2 linked regions of the Mytilus edulis genome follow. The protein of the gene in region 1 purifies or fractionates together with the protein of each later gene. This does not show direct contact. Links are inferred from orthologs where the notes say so. Each region holds a gene or a part of one and is shown on either strand. Other genes may lie near its edges.

Region 1 (3,760 bases):
CATTTTCTTGCTAAATGAATATAAACAGATGTATAAATTAGAAAAAAAACTCCTGCCATGCTACTGCCACGAAGGAAGAATTCCCATACAAATGTGTAAATAAAATGTAGATTGTAAATAATTGCCAGCTTGGCAAATTGTCACAAAATCTTATTTCTGTCCCAACATGTGTGTTTGAAAACAAAGGCAACAGTAGTATACCCCTGTTCATTTCTATGTGTATTTAATATTTCCTGCAACTGTTTTTTATACATATTTTGATTTTACTTAGGCCAAATAAAAATATATTTGTGGTTCCAGTAACCCTACTGTCCCTACTTTATCGGCTTAAAAATAGCCTACCCTAAAGATTTTATTGTCATTTTCCATTAAGCACTGTTAAAGTCAGAATGTTGCTCCCATAGACTCAATGTAAAAAAAAAACCATAAAATAAAAAAAAATCCCTACCTACCTACCCTAACTTTTTTTCAGATGTAACTGGAACCACACATACTTTTTTATTTGGCCTTATGATGTATTGATGTAGCATTAACAGTGTGTATGTTTTAATATAGTTACCCTTATCCTGTAATCTTTCTTCAGACATATAATCAGGTAGCTTCTGAAGTTGTGGCACTGGAGGCTGTTGTTGCTGCTGTTGCTGCTGTTGTTGTATGGGGACTTGCTGTATCAATGGTTGTGGCATCAACGGAACTTGTTGTATTATAAATGGCTGCCCACCAGGCCCTATCATATAGGGGAAAGCCATCTTGCCAAACGTTTATTTACAGCACCTGAAATAATTGTAATAAATATAACATTTTCATGGTATAACATGTGGGATTGTAAATATATTTCCTAAAATTACCAGAACCAACATCTGTGTTGATAGGATGACCAGGTCATTTCAGGTGATCACCTTGTACTGAATCTAGGATAATGACATAAAAATCACTTGTTTAAGTATCATACATCAATTTCCTTCCCAAAAATCACTTCTTTGAAGTATTATTATTTTAATAACCCCCACTAATTTCAACACCCCCGAACAGTGGAATTTTTATCGCTAACAGTAGAATTTTATTACATAATCTGAAAGATGAAACCTTGAACTTTACAGGAAAAATACTCCCACTGCTGGGATATGTAGAGCCATTATTATAGCATTTTTTCAACTAAAATCCAATTTGCAGCTAAATGATAGCATTAAAGGCATAAACCTTGCTACATGCAAAAAGTTCATTTTTTCTATTTTACTAATGAAAAGATATTATTTAGACCTATGTGTTTAAAATTTTGGTAAAACTACAAAATCACAATTTGTGACAAAATTTTGAATTTGCTACTCAAATAAGTGATTTCAAAATGCCAAAGCCAACAGAGAAGTTACCGAATTAGTAAATGGTTCAGTTAATGAAATCCGTAACTGCCATCGAATTCGTTAACCTTAGAGTTCGGAGATTTCCAGAACTGAGTGCTGTAATACTAGTATCACTATGGATTTTTTTTAATAAAAAACACAATTCATTTTGTCTTTTCATATTCACTTCCATGTCCCATATCTAACAATAAAAACACTTTAGAATACGACCTTTTCTTTAAACTGTCAGTGTAATCAAAGCGAAGCGGATTATGTAATGTGAAGAGTCAAAAATTAATTTTATGGTTCAATAAATTCAAAATAAATTTGTATCAAAAATAAGGCTCAGGGATATATATTAATAGGAATAACAACGTACACAGATGTTTGCGTATGAATACACAACGTTAGAGTGGGCGTGTCGCTATAAAAATTGATAACATTGAAAATAAAGCTAATTCTTTTAACCAATCAGAAGAGAGTAAATACATCAAATTTATTTATATTTTTATAAAGTAAAACAAAAATCTATATCAACTACATGTATAAATCTACGTCATGTGCTAGTCCAAATAATTATGACGTCTTGAAAGGCTATTATAATTTTTTTCTTTGACGCCTTACATCGACGTCATAACGCCAAACTCATATATTCAGTTGGACTTTGAGAAGGAATTTACTGCTTTATTAAAACGTTTAGCTGATTTCTCCTAAAGATGCTTCATTTTAGGTGTATAAAATATATTTTTTAACCAAACTCGGTACATTTTCACCGACCTGAATTTCCGGATAATGTAAAACAATGGTTCCGGAAATTCGGGTTTTACCGAGTTTGGTGTGAAAATTATTTTATAATCTTCTTACAGGAAATCAGACAAACGTTTTAAAAAATGCAGTCGACATGTTCCCGCCTCGGATGGAATTGTTCCTTATATTATTATTTCTGTCGGGATTAATTGGAAATATTTTGCACAAACAAACACATAAAAGGTAAGAATTTTTGTTTATGCATTGTGTTTTAGCCTTCAATGAAAATTTGATGGCTAAATTGGGTCTCAAAGTTGAGAGCAAAATATGCTCTCAAAGTCCAACCGAAAATGGCGGCTTCAGCATTATGACGTCGATGTAAGGCGTCAAAGAAAAAAATATAATAGCCTTTCAAGACGTCATAATTATTTGGACTACGTCATGTGCATGAAATATATGTCTATGTACTGTATGTTTTAACATTAGTATTGTATATGTTTATTGTGTAAATTCATGTATTTGTCGGTTATAAAAGCTCAAAGAGCTTATGTTATTGTTCTGGGACATGCCGACTTAAAATAAAGCTTGGAATTGAATTGAACTTATTTTCAAAGTTTGTCGCAGTTCGTTCTCAAAACACTGACGCAGACAACATGATAAAAGTACTTAATAAGAGTACATAGAGTATTTGTTATATGAATGCAACGTTAACACTAAATGCACACATTTAAACTCGAAGCTTGTAATGAAAAGTACCTCAACGTGCTGTGTTCGGCAAATGGCGGATTTCGTAAATACTGCGTCGGTCACGTGTTTTTACATAAAGGTAAAGAAAATGCTTGAGATGTTCCAAATGGAAAAAGTTCATTCCTTTTAATTTTAAGCAGTATATAAGCATTTTTTTTACATGAAAATAAAGATTAAAGCCATTGATTTAAAAATTATTATTTTTTAGGGTTGAAAGATAAGGCAAAAACTGTATTTCAGAAAGAAAAAAAAATGAAGTTCGGGTCATACTTTACCTATTTTAGACTTTAAAATTTTTAGTGGGGAGTTGTGTACCTTTGTATGTAATTGGCCACAAAAGGCATTAATTAATCATATGTTGAAATCAGAGCTCACACACATCTCAAGACATGTCATTATTGAAAATGGTTTACATGTGGTGGTCATACAGTAACATTCTCTAGGGCATATATTGAACAGGTAAATAATGTTAGGGGGATTAAAACAGGATGGCAAAATACACTTGTCAGACTCATGTCATGACAGGGCATACATATTCTTACACATAATTATTCCTGTTGTTCTTTCATGTCTTGTGATATGCTTAGACATAGGGCAAGTAGAAAATGATCTTTGATAATGTGAAAGTCAGGATTATACAGTGCAAACACAAGGTTGGACAGTAGTGGATATTTGGAATGGATTTTTATTCCACTATTTGAAAACCATCGTCTCTAGTAAATGCGACTGATATTTAAAAAAAAATCGACAAAAATCATGATGCCAATATTTGGACGGTGACTATATATTAATAGAATGTAGGAAGGCAAAACGTTTTTGAATCATGGGTAAGATTATGGGAAACAATCAAACAACCAGTCCTTGTCGAATACTGAATGTTTCATTTAGTCTGTATAAATTTGAATATTAGTTTCAGTAAGTCTTCA
Region 2 (3,760 bases), on another chromosome or scaffold:
ATTACATGAGTTTTTTTTACACAAAACAAATGTCAAGATTTTACAAATCAATTAAAGATTTCTTCTTCAAACTTTTTAAATCTAAAATTAAATGGTTGACACAGCATAGGTTTCTGACACAGAATGAATGTGGTCTAATGAACTTAAAAGTTTTTTTTTGCCTTTTAGCAATTCACTATGCTGTTGAATATTAATCCTCTCAAAAAAATGTTTGAAGAAATTTTCTTTTTATTTATGAAATCTGAAATGAGAAAAATTTAACCCCCCCCCCCCTTTTTTTCACATCCCCGTTTCCCTTTTTCCAAAACTGATATCAATTCAAATTTCTAATGGAGTTTGCAATAATAACTACTCTTTTAAATACATCATAAAATATTAAAATGTAAAATAAAGTGCTTGTTATCACTGAATGGTAAAGATTGGTTGGTAGTAAAAGTGAATATACATTGTTTATTGTATAAAACAATAAAAAAAACTTCATCAGCAACATTTTATATTGGCAAATTTCCAATGAAGTTATTTACATAAAGTTATTGGCAAATTAAAATAGAAAATGACATCATAGTCATGTCTGACAAATGTCCAACATACATTATCTAAAAACATTTTAGATAAGATAAGGAAAAAAAGCTTCATCAGCAACATTTTATATTGGCAAATTTCCAATGAAGTTATTTACATAAAGTTATTGGCAAATAAAAATAGAAAATGACATCATAGTCATGTCTGGCAAATTTCCAACATATATTATCAACTACTATTCTATACAAAGAAAGATAACTCCAATTGAAAATTAATTGCTATTGCACAATATTGTGCAATTAGATATTTCTTGCTATTGTGCAATACTGTGCAATTGAAAATTTCTTGCTATTGCACAATACTTGATATGGAATCCTGATTTGGACCAACTTGAAAACTGGGCCCATAATCAAAAATCAAAGTACATATTTAGATAAAGCATATCAAATAAGCCCAAGAATTTAATTTTTGTTAAAATCAAACTTAGTTTAATTTTGGACCCTTTGGACCTTAATGTAGACCAATTTGAAAACTGGACCAAAAATTAAGAATCTACATACACAGTTAGATTTGGCATATCAAAGAACCCATTTATTCAATTTTTGATGAAATCAAACAAAGTTTAATTTTGGACCCCCATTTGGACCAACTTGAAAACTAGGCCAATAATTAAAAATCTAAGTACATTTTTAAATTCAGCATATCAAAGAACCCCAAGGATTCAATTTTTGTTAAAATCAAACTAAGTTTAATTTTGGACCCTTTGGACCTTAATGTAGACCAATTTGAAAACGGGACCAAAAATTAAGAATCTACATACATAGTTAGATTCGGCATATCAAAGAACCCCAATTATTCAATTTTTGATGAAATCACACAAAGTTCAATTTTGGACCCTTTGGGCCCCTTATTCCTAAACTGTTAGGACCAAAACTCCCAAAATCAAACCCAACCTTCCTTTTATGGTCATAAACCTTGTGTTAAAATTTCATTGATTTCTATTTACTTATACTAAAGTTATTGTGCGAAAACCAAGAATAATGCTTATTTGGGCCCTATTTTGGCCCTTAATTCCTAAACTGTTGGAACCAAAACTCCCAAAATCAATCACAACCTTCCTTTTGTGGTCATAAAACTTGTGTCAAAATTTCATAGATTTCTATTCACTTAAACTAAAGTTATAGTGCGAAAACCAAGAAAATGCTTATTTGGGCCCTTTTTGGCCCCTAATTCCTAAAATGTTGGGACCAAAACTCCCAAAATCAATCCCAACCTTCCTTTTGTGGTCATAAACCTTGTGTTAAAATTTCATTGATTTCTATTCACTTTTACTAAAGTTAGAGTGCGAAAACTAAAAGTATTCGGACGACGACGACGACGACGACGACGACGACGACGACGACGACGACGACGACGACGACGACGACGCCAACGTGATAGCAATATACGACCAAAAAATTAAAATTTTTGCGGTCGTATAAAGAAGGGTTACAATTTATTATTGGCGATTCAAAGTCAGGCAGAAATGCAATCTAAAAGTAAACAAAGTAACCTTTTTCAGTCACAGCAGTCAAATTAAACTGCTCTTTTTGCCAAATGTGGTCGACAATTGTTGAACTAACAAAAGCAGGATAAGTGTCAATATATTCAAGTAAAATTTTCACTTTGTCTCTTGACATAAGCCAAGGATCCAAGGATGTGTCAACAAAGGGGAAAAGCCAATATTCAGAAGCATTGTCGGGTAGTCAATCTTTCTTTTCTACCATGCTTATTAAATGACTGGTTTGTAATAATTAACTACGATAACGATAGCTTATTTTCAATTGTACACATTTCTACAAAGAGTTGCATCGCCAGTGGCAAATATAATTACACATGTTTAACTGTTAATGCACATTCAGGACAATATAGCTCAGATATTCCTGTGTCTTAGTACTTGACTGAAAAATAATGAAAATGCCTCACATCTTGGGCAAATTTTATAGAAGGGTTACAATTTATTTTTGGTGATTCAAAGTCAGGCAGAAATGCAATCTAAAAGTAAACAAAGTAACCTTTTTCAGTCACAGCAGTCAAATTAAACTGCTCCTTTTGCCAAATGTGGTCGACAATTGTTGAACTAACAAACGCAAGATAAGTGTCAATATATTCAAGTAAAATTTTTCGCTTTGTCTCTTGACATAATGATGTGTCAACCAAGGGGAAAAGCCAATATTCAGAAGCATCGTCGGGTAGACGATCTTTCTTTTCTGCCATGCTAATTCAATGATGACTGGTTTGTAATAATTAACTACGATAGCTTATTTTCAATTGTACACATTTCTACAAAGGGTACCAGTCAAAATTTGCGGAAGTTCAGCACAGGTCGTAACCTCAATAAATTGGCCAATCATTTAGAATGTTACAAAGTGCTTTGGATCCGAATCATGTGATCTATTATTTTGTGAAAGATGTTGAAGCCAAAAGCATTAACTCAAGTTTTGAGTCAGGCAAATACTGGTGGTGTACAAAGCACACTGTAAGAATATTAACTAATATCAAAGTTTATGAATTTAATGATATACAAAGTATGCTAAAAATAAATGAAAACAAAATGAAATACTTTGGCATATCATTATCAGATCAAATCATTAACTGGGTAGAATCCTTTCTTTCAAACAGAACGCAAACAGTACTTTTAGAAAACATGTCATCTTCAAAAATACCAGTCTCATCAGGAGTCCCACAGGGTACAGTGCTAAGACCAATACTATTCTTAATTTACATAAATGACCTCCCAGATTACATCCAACATAGCAAAATCAGACTCTTTGCAGATGACAGTATAATCTACGGATCTCCTGTAGTTGGTGATCGCAATACTGGTATACCAGTATTGTCCACAATACTAAAAAATTTGTACCAGTATTGTAACTTTTTATAAAAAAAAACCAGCAATACTGGTACATTACTGATATACCAGTATTGTAGTTGTATTGTTGACTAGACTATATTGAAGATCAACGGGAGATTAAATGAACTCAAAAAGATTATAAAGGATAATTGTGAAATCAATTAACAACCAGTTAAAAGTCATTACTATACTTGCACAAATAAACAAAGGATTATTGAAATTAACTCATAACATCATTATTATTTAAACAATTGCTAATAATTTTATCATATTTCTATATTTTATTTAATTCAATAAAGATAAAATAAAATAAAAGCTTTTTATTATCTGAGTAATAATTTAATA

What was found. The genes of interacting proteins can lie anywhere in the genome.
Region 2: the proteins of pre-mRNA-processing-splicing factor 8 (region 1) and protein ecdysoneless homolog purify together in Homo sapiens (affinity purification with mass spectrometry; 7 studies listed by BioGRID and IntAct, counting the BioPlex papers as one, with this or other methods). This does not show direct contact. The link is inferred for Mytilus edulis from reciprocal best matches to the Homo sapiens genes PRPF8 and ECD.

Annotation. Positions count from the first base shown.
Region 1 is NC_092349.1:30,224,688-30,228,447, forward strand, and holds the start of pre-mRNA-processing-splicing factor 8, read right to left. Parts: upstream 2,906-3,760; 5' UTR 2,844-2,905; intron 775-2,843; 5' UTR 750-774; coding exon 560-749; intron 11-559; coding exon 1-10. UniProt on the Homo sapiens protein: Plays a role in pre-mRNA splicing as core component of precatalytic, catalytic and postcatalytic spliceosomal complexes, both of the predominant U2-type spliceosome and the minor U12-type spliceosome.
Region 2 is NC_092352.1:35,106,835-35,110,594, reverse strand, and holds the start of protein ecdysoneless homolog, read right to left. Parts: upstream 2,809-3,760; 5' UTR 2,779-2,808; coding exon 2,577-2,778; intron 1-2,576. Other genes in the region: ragulator complex protein LAMTOR2-like, read left to right, coding at 2,973-3,040. UniProt on the Homo sapiens protein: Regulator of p53/TP53 stability and function. Inhibits MDM2-mediated degradation of p53/TP53 possibly by cooperating in part with TXNIP. May be involved transcriptional regulation. In vitro has intrinsic transactivation activity enhanced by EP300.